3 linked regions of the Callithrix jacchus genome follow. The protein of the gene in region 1 purifies or fractionates together with the protein of each later gene. This does not show direct contact. Links are inferred from orthologs where the notes say so. Each region holds a gene or a part of one and is shown on either strand. Other genes may lie near its edges.

What was found.
Region 2: the proteins of YAP1 (region 1) and ALB purify together in Homo sapiens (affinity purification with mass spectrometry, with the first as the bait; 3 studies listed by BioGRID). This does not show direct contact. The link is inferred for Callithrix jacchus from reciprocal best matches to the Homo sapiens genes YAP1 and ALB.
Region 3: the proteins of YAP1 (region 1) and NF2 purify together in Homo sapiens (affinity purification with mass spectrometry; 7 studies listed by BioGRID and IntAct, with this or other methods). This does not show direct contact. The link is inferred for Callithrix jacchus from reciprocal best matches to the Homo sapiens genes YAP1 and NF2.

The regions. Positions count from the first base shown.
Region 1 is NC_133511.1:37,427,751-37,431,403, forward strand, and holds part of YAP1 (transcriptional coactivator YAP1), read right to left. Parts: intron 480-3,653; coding exon 367-479; intron 1-366. UniProt on the Homo sapiens protein: Transcriptional regulator with dual roles as a coactivator and corepressor. Critical downstream regulatory target in the Hippo signaling pathway, crucial for organ size control and tumor suppression by restricting proliferation and promoting apoptosis.
Region 2 is NC_133504.1:124,645,349-124,649,001, forward strand, and holds part of ALB (albumin), read right to left. Parts: intron 3,522-3,653; coding exon 3,389-3,521; intron 2,268-3,388; coding exon 2,170-2,267; intron 1,003-2,169; coding exon 864-1,002; intron 282-863; coding exon 58-281; intron 1-57. UniProt on the Homo sapiens protein: Binds water, Ca(2+), Na(+), K(+), fatty acids, hormones, bilirubin and drugs. Its main function is the regulation of the colloidal osmotic pressure of blood. Major zinc transporter in plasma, typically binds about 80% of all plasma zinc.
Region 3 is NC_133502.1:200,273,562-200,277,023, reverse strand, and holds part of NF2 (merlin), read right to left. Parts: intron 2,312-3,462; coding exon 2,184-2,311; intron 1-2,183. UniProt on the Homo sapiens protein: Probable regulator of the Hippo/SWH (Sav/Wts/Hpo) signaling pathway, a signaling pathway that plays a pivotal role in tumor suppression by restricting proliferation and promoting apoptosis.

The DNA of each region.
Region 1 (3,653 bases):
TGGGATTACAGGCACATGTCAGCAGGCCCGGCTAATTTTTGTATTTTTAGTAGAGACAGGGTTTCACCACATTGGCTAGGCTAGTCTCAAACTCCTGACCTCAAGTGATCTGCCTGCCCTGGCCTCCCAAAGTGCTGGGATTACAGGCTTGAGCCACCATGCCCAGCCAATGTAATTTTTTTTTAAACTAGGAAAAGACAAATTACAAATCACCATATAGAGACAAAACAGGTTCAATTTAATTCAGATTTACAGGATTTTAATTGGTTTTCTTCTGAATAATCTTTGCTTACAATAGCTTATTAGACTTGGTGATAACATATCTGACTATAAGTCAGGTTACCAAGAGGAATAAAGAATACCAACCTGTATCCATCTCATCAACGCTGTTCAGGAAGTCATCTGGGGTACGAGGGACACTGTAGCTGCTCATGCTTAGTCCACTGTCAGTACTCTCATCTCGAGAGTGATAGGTGCCACTACAAAAACATGACAGTTAAAGACCAACGCAAAAATTTAAAAAATCAATTCAAGGTAAAAATAAACACCTGCTGCGTACCAACATAACTCTCAAAGAGGATTAAGGAAAATTCCTGCCCCGAAATGTCTGAAACAAGCACCCTCCTTCAGGGCCACAGACAGGGCTTGTGCTATGAAGTGAAACAGACAAGTTAATCCTAATTGAAACTGGCAGCTCTAAGGAGCCAAGATTTCTCCTAAGGTGTTCTGTGCTTGGTGACAATAAGGGACCAAAAAAAGATATTCCCAGTTAGTTTTTCAGGCTGACAGGAAATTCTCTGCATGTAATATTCTCTCTGTAATACCATCTGCATGTGGGGGTGGGGAGGAACCCACATAACTGACTTGTTCCAAGGTCTCGATTCTCCAGGTGGTGGTGGTACAGAAAGAGAGGTCAAAACACAAACTCCAGGTGGGCGAGGAGACAGGTCTGCACTAGATTCAAGTTAAATTCCTAGCTCTTATGCAGAGAACTTAAGCCAAGGAAAAATCAACCCCAAATAAAGCACCAAAATTCCTTTTAGGACTGAGCCAAAACAGATGAGTCACTGCTGATGAGATAAGAATACCCGTGGCTTCATCTCCTTGTTTCTGTGTTTGGGTGGGGGAAGAAAAAGCCCCAAACACTTCAGTACAAAACAGGAGATCATATAGCTCCAGTTAAAGAAAAGAATGAAACAAAAAACTGCAAGGCACATCCCTTGAAAATAACATGACCCAACACAGATTTTCACTTTAGATTAAATAAGGTTTCCAAGATTTACATAGAAGTATGGTAAATATCCATTACTCTGATAAATAGAACACTTTCCTAAGCTAGTAACACCTATGCATCAGCTGGCATTCGCTGAGTTCTACTCACTTCTACTCACTTCAGAAAATCTTACAGAAAAGCATAAAATCAAGGCAATTGTTATTCTTCAATGACCTGTGTACAGGAATGTGAACTTTAACTTTCTCTACAGTTTGTGTATTTAATAAGCAGGTATTTAACTTACATAAAAGTTAAAAAATAAAAACAAGTTTAACAATTGCTCAAGGCTAAAAGCTCAGTCAGTACCCCAACTGCTTTCCCTAAATGACGCAATGCATTTGCCTTGTTCTCTTTCTCTAGCCTCATTCTATACACCGCAATCACTGGTTTACTCTAATGCTTCTGCCAGGTTTTGGCAAGGCTCAAAAGCCTCACACAGATCCAAGAAAACACAAATTTGCCTCTGAGACCACTGGTATACAGTGCAGCCATGTATGAGAAGGCCTCAGGATGTGGTTTGTTTGTATTTTGCCTGCCCTGATCTGGGACAAAGGCCTGGTCCTAGTCATCACTCTATTCCGCTGCTAAGCATGGGACACACATCAGACATTTTAGTCTGTTACTGAATAGCTGAACTTAAAGAGTTGTGCAGAGTTCATTCCAAACCACTGGGGAAGCACATGGGCATTCCTGAGGGCAGTGTTTACAGAGCCATTTTCCTTGGGACAAACTGCTCCCTGCAGAACCCCACCTTCTACAGGCCCCACTCATTCAATAAACATTCACTGAGCATCTGCTACTATATGACAGGCATTAGACTAGGCTTTGAGGATAAAGAGGTTAACAACCACCACCACCTACAAACAATGCTTTGTGAGAGGCTCACAACTTCAAGGAGGGACATGAACAAATACACTAATGAATCATATACAGGGGTTATATGAACTATGTAAGCACAGTGCTTTCAGAACAAACAGGGAGCTTGAAAGTAAAGGGTAAAAGTTTCATGGAGGGGGACATCTGAGTGGGCCTTGAGAGATCTCAAAAGTAAAAGGGAGATGAGGTGACTGTGCATTACTACTAGCAGTCAATGCCATGGCAAGTTGGGGGAAAAAGGATTTAGAGCTTAAGGAATGTATATATAAATCAAATAGTAAACAAGACAGTAACCATCAAGAGTGTTTTGTTTGTTTTTATAAGATGGAGTTTCCCTCTTGTTGCTCAGGCTGGAGTGCAATGGCATGATCTCGGCACACTGCAACCTCTGCCTCCTGGGTTCAAGCGAGACTCTCCTGCCTCAGCCTCCTGAGTAGCTGGGATTATAGGCATGTGTGACCACATCCGGCCAATTTTGTATTTTTAGTAGAGATGGGGTTTTGCCATGTTGGTCAGGCTGGTCTCAAACTCCTGACCCCAGGTGATCCACTTGCCTTAGCTTCCCAAAGGGCTGGAATTACAGGAGTGAGCCGCCACACCCAGCCAAGAGTTTTTACATTTATCTATTTAGAGATGAGTTTTGCTCTTGTGATCCAGGCTGGAATGCAGTGGGGTGTGATCTCGGTTCACTGTAACCTCCGCCTCCTGGGTTCAAGCGATTCTCCTGCCTCAGCCTCCAGAATAGCTGGGATTACAGGCATGAGTCACCATTCCCAGCTAATTTGTATTTTTAGTAGCGATGGGGTTTCACCATGATGGCCAGGCTGGTCTTGAACTTCTGACCTCAGGTGATCCACCCACCTCGGCCTCCCAAAGTGCTGGGATTATAGGCGTTAGCCACCGTGCCTGGTGAGTTTTTGTTTTTAAGGGGGGGAAAAAAAGTCAAAGTCAGATGTATGCTTTAGAAACGGGGGGTACAGAGAATGGATACGTAATTCTGTCCTTAGATTAGTAACATTGATATCTGCCATGGTGATCTTCCCAGAAAACAGAATATCAAATTGTAGCCCAGGTCTCATCAAAAGTTTTAAGAAAAAATCTTTATAAATGACTGTCAGAAGGATATGCAGCCTATCCACTTTTAAAATGGTCTAATTAATACCTGGTATTAATATAAGTCCTTCAACAAGACAGGTACTAGAATTACATGAATATGAAATTCTCCTTATTAGAAAAAAATAAAGTTCTGAGGCTATGAACTTTCTTAATTAGCCTCAGTTTAAGTCTAGAACTCTAATCTTATATAAATATGTCTACTTTTAGACAGAAATTTAAACTGTATGTCAGAAGAATAAATACAAACTTAAAATGTATTTTAGATGGCTTTCAAACTCAAACCTTCCAACTAGGCCACCAGCACTAATCTTAAAAACTGGGTAAATGGTAAATTCTATTGCACTAAATATTTTTAGCAGGGTAAGATATTTTTCTCTTGGAATTACTA
Region 2 (3,653 bases), on another chromosome or scaffold:
ATTGACAGTTCTTGCCATCAAGACTACAAACACGTGCAGTAATGAAATACTTCTCACGTTTGTTTCTTGACTTGTTGCTCCTTCTCAGAAAGTGTGCACATATCTGCATGGAAGGTGAATGTTTCAGCATTAAACGCTTTGGGAAGATATGTTTCATCGACTTCCAGAGCAGAAAAGCATGGTCGCCTGTTCACCAGGGATTCCGTGCAGCATTTGGTGACTCTGTCACTTACTGGTGTTTTCTCATGCAGCACACACAACTGGTTCAGGACCACGGACAGCTAAAGAACAGGCAGGAGAGCAAAAATTCAAAAGAGTTAAAGCTGAAAATTTTCCATGAACTTCTGACTTTCCAGTGCACCAAAATAAGTATTATGTTTCAACTAGCAATGTTGAATCCAAAATTGATTTGAGGCAGTGACTTGTGTTTAAACTACAAATAAGGACTTTCAAAAGTCTCTTCCTTTTAATTAAATGTCTACATTTCAAGAATAATTTGCTTGAGAAAACAATTGATGAAAATAATTTCAGGCAATATGTGCTGAGACATGTGTTACAGTGAAGAAGAAATAGTCCTATAATGATACATTAAAGAATAGATCCCCCAAAGAAAGTAAAAATTTAGAGAACATTAGGATTGAACCCTGAAAATGCATAAATTTTTAAAAAACAATTTATCATCTCTGGGGCCCTGGCTGCCAATAGCACACATACATGCACACACACACACACACACACACACACACACACGCACAAAAACATGAACACACACATTACTCCCTTATGCTCCTAAAAGTCAGCATTATCAATATCTAAAGGTAAAATTTTGTGTTTTTAATTTATTATGTTTTTTAAAGACTCACATAGTCTTCTACACAGGGCATTCTTTTTGCTTCAGGCTGTTTACAACATTTGGTGCCCACTTTTCCTAGGTTTCTTGAGACCTCTACAAGAGTTGGAGTTGACACTTGGGGTACTTTCTTGGTGTAACGAACTAATAGCCTGAAAAAAAAAAAGAAGTCAATGTGTTTTCAGCCAGGCAAGAAACTGTCTAACATAGAAAATAAAACAGAGAACACTTGGTCAGAATCAACTAAAATGTTCCTATGCTCCATTTGTCATATTATCTCCATCTGAGAGTAATAGGTTAGTGTAGGGGGGAAAACTTGCTTCTGAACAACTAGTTAAACCTGGCTTTGACTTCCAGCTGTACCACTTGTATAATCTTGGGAAAGTGAGTTACCTAATTCAGTGACATTCATACATTTCTTTCTTTCTTTTTTCAATAAAACCTGGAGAGAGCTTCAGATGCTAAATTTGAAAGATACAAGTAGGAAATGGGAGGAAATATATCTGACTCAATAGGGGTAGTTAAAGGATTAAATTAAAAGTAATAAAACATAATTAATCTGACATGGTATCTAATACATAATAATAATGTATTAAGAATGTCAATCACCATTAAAAGTCAACATATGACTGTAATCTACTTGAGGGAAGCAACTATGTCTTGTTCACTGTTATCCCTAAAACCCATAATCAGAAGAGCACTATGTGTATGAGCCACACAATAAATATCTACAGTATAATATGTCTCTTCTTGTTTTTACCTTCATAGGTAAGGCTCTATTGAATTGGGACATTAGTCCAGCAAGCCATTCTGTCTCTATCTCTTCTGTGGAGAGAAATTCCACAGAAACATAAGGTTTAACCAGCAAAGACTAGGCACATCTCCCAAAGAACTTGAACTTAATATTCAAATATCTAATTCATTTTACTATATTTTTTTCAGCTTATATATTACTTTTTGAGCAACTGCTATTCAAGGCCTACTACTTCCTGCTCTACAAAATATTGCCATGTTCTATTTGTCCATTAACTATTCCTTAATCTTCAAGGAACATCCTCAGTTCTGATATACCAAGATTTGTTATTTGCCCTCCCAGGTGACATACTTCCAGTCTTAAGAACAATTTTTAGACTACATTGAAATATAAGCCTCTCCAACCCATCAACTATTTTACCTCTCCTCTCCTTTCGTTTGTGACAAAGAGTGATTAGAAATATATAGTGTATTTTCATTCTTAAAAGTTCTATGCTAGGTGGCTCATATATTAAGTCTTAAATAAGTACAAATTGATCAAGAATTAGTCAATAAAAATTACTTACTCATTCTGGAATTTGTACTCTCCAAACTGCTCAAAAAGTTCACAGTTATGTTTGACTAAGTTCTGAGGATCTTCCACAAGAGGCTGGAATTCATCAAACTGAAACATAAAAGAATTGTGTTGATAGTACCACACCTGAGGATCAGATGCAGGTTGTTTTTCACCCCTCTGGTCAGAACCATATATTTTCTCCTAGCTTCTGAAATCCACATGAATAGATAAATATCAATGCCACATCTGTCACATTACATTCAAACTGTTTATTTGGAGAGCTTGCATCCTGTAACTGGCTAAGAATATTCAGGCTCTGGAGTTCAATGACCAGTATTTGAGCCAAGTTACCTGACTCATTCTTCAGCTGTGCAATTTTACCGACCATCTCTACACTTCAGAATCCTTATCTCCAAAATAGGGGCAAAGATGGTACTCATCTCACAGAGCTGCTCTGTAAATGAATTAAGCTAATGAAATTAAACACTGCCTCCTTATAATAAAAGTTTAATAAATAATGGCTATGATTATACATATTACTATTATTAGTTCCTCTTTCCAGTTACATTCTGGGCTCTCCAAAATGAGAGATTTTACCTTGGTCATTGGTTGTGCATGGTGCCTGGCATACAGTAGCTTCTTTATAGAGGAAAGAATGAGTTTTCTTTTATTCTGAATAGTTTTGAAACCATTACATATGATAGTGGGGACCCTAAAAATCTTCCAGAACAGATTTCTGCTCCTAACTTAATTTACTAAACTTTTTCAAAAAGATTTGAAAATATTCTAAAGGTATATATTCTACGATTTCCCTTAAGAAATTAATTCTAGTACTTGATAAAAGGATGTTATCATGATCCAACAATTAAAATGCAAAAATATTGGAATCAGGTTAACTGACTTTACAACTAAGTTAAATATCTTCTAATTAACATTTAAATTTAAATTATTTTGTTCTCAGGATTGTGAATAAAAGAAAAATTATCAAAATTATTTAGAGATTGCTCTGTTCAGATCTTTCTTTTCTAGACTATTCTACATTTTGTTAAACATTCTAAGGCTACTTTTTCTTAGAAAAGTAGCCTTAGTATTGAATTGAAGAATTGAAATAATCTCAAGGAAAGATCTAAATTGCACTGTACATCATTTTACATTCTTGCATTATTTTTCTTTCTCATTATTGGAATCATCAGTCAAAGAATTACATTTTTTTCAAACAATAAACATACCACTTTGGCATAGCATCCATGAGGATCTGCAGTGGCACAGCACTTCTCTAAAGTGGCTTCATATGCCTTGGCAAGTCTCAGCAGCAGCATGGCAGAGTAATCAGGATGCCTTCTTGAATATTCATACAAAAACCTAATTAAGATGAAAATAAAATAGACTTTACTGGACGAATTAGCACCAAAAATCACAAAGCTAACCTCAAAAGTAACTCATATGCCAAAAGTCTTAATTTGACTACACCCCAGGCAGTAAAACTTAGTAGCT
Region 3 (3,462 bases), on another chromosome or scaffold:
TTTTTTTTGGATAGGATCTTGCTATGCTGCCAAGGCTGGTCTTGAACTCCTGGCCTGGAAGTGCTGGGATTATAGGCATAAGCCACAGCGCCCAGCCTCACATGATTTCTTTTGATAGGCCACATCCATACTCCCACATGTTCTGAGACTTCATCTGAAGATGACAGAAGCTTACTCAGAAGCTCACGGAATGCAAGGAAAAAAAGATCCCCACCCTCACCTGAGAACAGATACACTGAGTGACAGCATCTATGATGGTGAAAATCTAGAAACCACCCACAAAGTGTCCAACTACAAGGGCATGGCCAGGAAAAACATGCAACACAAATATCAAGGAACACTCTGTAGGGATTGCCATAGTTACATGTGCAAGGGTAAGAAGTGCCATGGGCCGAATGTTTGTGTCTCCTCAAAACTCCTATGTTGAAACCTAATCGCCAATGTGAAGGTGTTAGGAGGTGGGACCTCTGGGAGGTCATGAGGGTAGAGCCTCACAAATGGAATTAGCACCCTTATAAAAGAGGCTCCAGAGAGATCCCTCATCCCTTCCACTGCATGAGCACATAGTGACAAGGCGCCGACTATGAACCAGGCAGATTCTACCTCTGCCCATGCCTTGATCTTGGCCTTCCCAGCTTCCTGAACTGTAAGAAATCAATTTCTTTCTTTTTTTTTTTTCTTTTGAGACAGGGTGTCTCTCTGTTGCCCCAGCTGGAGTGCAGTAGTGAGATCTGAGCTCACTGCAACCTCTGCCTCCCAGGCTCAAGCAATCCTCCCACCTCAACCTTGTGAGTAGCTGGGACCACAGGCATGTGACACTGCACCCACCTAATTTGTGTATTTTTAGTAGAAATGGGGTTTTGCCATGTTGCCCAGGCTGATCTTGAACTCCTGGCTCAAGACATCTGCCCGCCTTGGCCTCCCAAAGTGCTGGTATTATAGGCATGAGCCACCATGCCTGGCTAAGAAATAAATTTCTGTTGTCTGTAAGCTACCCAGCCTCTGGTATTTTGTTACAGTAGCCAAAACAAATTAAGATAGTAACAAAATGCAAACTATAAAATAGCAGACACAGAATAGCTTCACCCCTATCCCCAGTCCCAACCACATAAATATATATGTCTGGATAACAGTGAAAGGAACATGGACAGCAGATATGACGGCTAGAGGCTCTGGTTCACTGGCTAAGTGTGAGAGCCCAAAGAGAAACAGCCTGGGTTGTGGTTGCTCGTGCTGGACTCCATGGAGACACTTTCCCCAAAGGGTTTTCCTGAGGATGCTACCCATGGGGAAAGCACATGGAAGGCAGAGTCAGGTGGGTGAGGGGTTTTAACCCCAGGGCTCCTCTGCATCAGCTGTGTGACGCTGGGGGAGTTCATTAAACTCTCTAAATCCGAGTTCTCACTTAGAAAATGGGGACATGAAAACCTACCTTTGATGTCAGTTTGATGTTTGTTAACTAGTAGGAATTAAATGGACAAAAGCCAAAACCCCTGACACACAGGGACTCGATGCATGCCGGCTACTGTAGTTGTCCTCCGGCAGGCGGCGGCAGTTTACCGCGAGTTCTGGGAACTAGGGGCCCTTGCTTAGACTGCCTCTGCAGAGGGGATCCTTTCCATCTCTGACCCAATTCTACTACCATCAAGGGAAAACAGAGGCTGCAGAGAGGGAAGCTCAGCAAAAGCTGCCATGATCAGGCCGTGCTGGGGCCCTGGCAAGCGCCACCCACTGCAGCAAAGTGGGCCCCACCTGGCTGTCGGCCTTCTTCAGCCTAGAGCCTGAGTCTATTCTCACCTTTGTTTGTTCTAGACGTGGGAACCATCACAGATCCCAGTCACTGGAGAACGCAACTAGGAGACGACCATAGTCTAGTACAACAGCAGCTGAACCGACCCGGAGATGCTAACAACCCAGTCCTACACTTCACATGAGGTTTGGAGCCACCATAAATGCCAGGTCACCAGTCAAATGTCTTTTTTATCCTGGAAGAATGAATGTTGATCTGTTGTCCCTTAATTTCTGATTAAGGAAATTCTTTCTCCAGGGAGTAAGAACAGAGGAAACCTTTGCAGGAGCTAATGGCAGGCTGCTGCAGCGACCCCTCACCTCTGCCCCGGCCTCCCAAGGGCCCCGTCACTCTAGTTCACGGCCGCCCACAGCAGGGCACAGGGGCTACATACTTTTCTTTCTCTATCTCCATGGAAAGCCGCTTCATGTCAGTATCCTTGAAGTCGAAAGACAGGCTGTCACCAATGAGGTTGAAGCTTGGTATGTCAGGAGGCAGCGGTGCTGGAATTGGGTTCATGGGCTATTAATGAGAAACCTCAGATTAGGAGCTTCGGGTCATACAAGAACAGAAGGGCACTACTGTGCTGACAACCAATCCTCCAGCAGCCACAGGGTGATGGGCACAACTCAGGTCCCACCTCCCAGTGCCACCACAAGCCTCCATCCCTCCACTTCAGTTCCTCCACATTTGCCACTGCCAGGTGGACAATACCAAAGAATATAAATCCAGGAAAATCCTCCCTCATCCTTCAAATTTTTAACCATTCTTCACGCTCAGTTGAATCAAACACAAACTCCCACTTGCTTTTTCATTTAGGAAACTCCTGGGCCCTTTGTGAGGGGCTGGAGATGCTGAAAACAAGACATCGTCCCTGGCTCTGAGCAGCTGAAAGTCTTGTTCAGGAAATAGATGTGTTCACAGATCATCACTGTTAAATAAGGTAAACACTGTAGCCAGGAAGCGAACAGAGGCTAGAAGAGATGCTGCTTTTGCTGGGAATCCAGGCAGTGCCAGGAGAAGGTTTGCCGGTGGGAGGCATGGCAGCAGGCTGGGCAGTGCCCAGTAAGGGTACCAGGAGTCTGCCATGTGAAGAGGAGGGGTGGGAGATGGGCACCACCACAAAGGGCTCTACCTGCCCACCGAGGGGTTTAGGCTTGGACAATGGAACCAGAGTATGGCTTGAAGCAGGAGTGATGAAATTAGATTTTTTTTTACTTTCATCCCAGAACAAAGGGTCTTCTAAAGAGGGCCCCAATCTAGCTCCCCAGCTTCTCCCATGATTTGCCCTGCTAAGTCCCAGACCGTACTTTTTAAGATCCCTGGACTACTGCTTTCCCGTTTCGGTACCCTTGCCTATCCCATTTCTCCTCCCTATACTTCATCCCTCTTTCAAGGCTCTTCTCAAATACCACAGTCTCTCACCAAAGCCTTTCTAGCTCCTCCCAGCCAGCCAGCAACCCTTTTCTTTGCTGTCCCTTAACGCTGTGTTTATGGTTCTCTAATGGCTCTTTTTACAGCGATTCCATCCTGTAAAAGATTTCTTTTTGGCTGTGTCTTTCTACTATTTGCAAGTTTCCTGCAAACGATCTGCCTCTTTTTCATCCTTGTATCCCTTATTAAGTCCAGGACAGTGTCTGGGAAAGAGCAGAGGCTTGACACATTCATTTGAG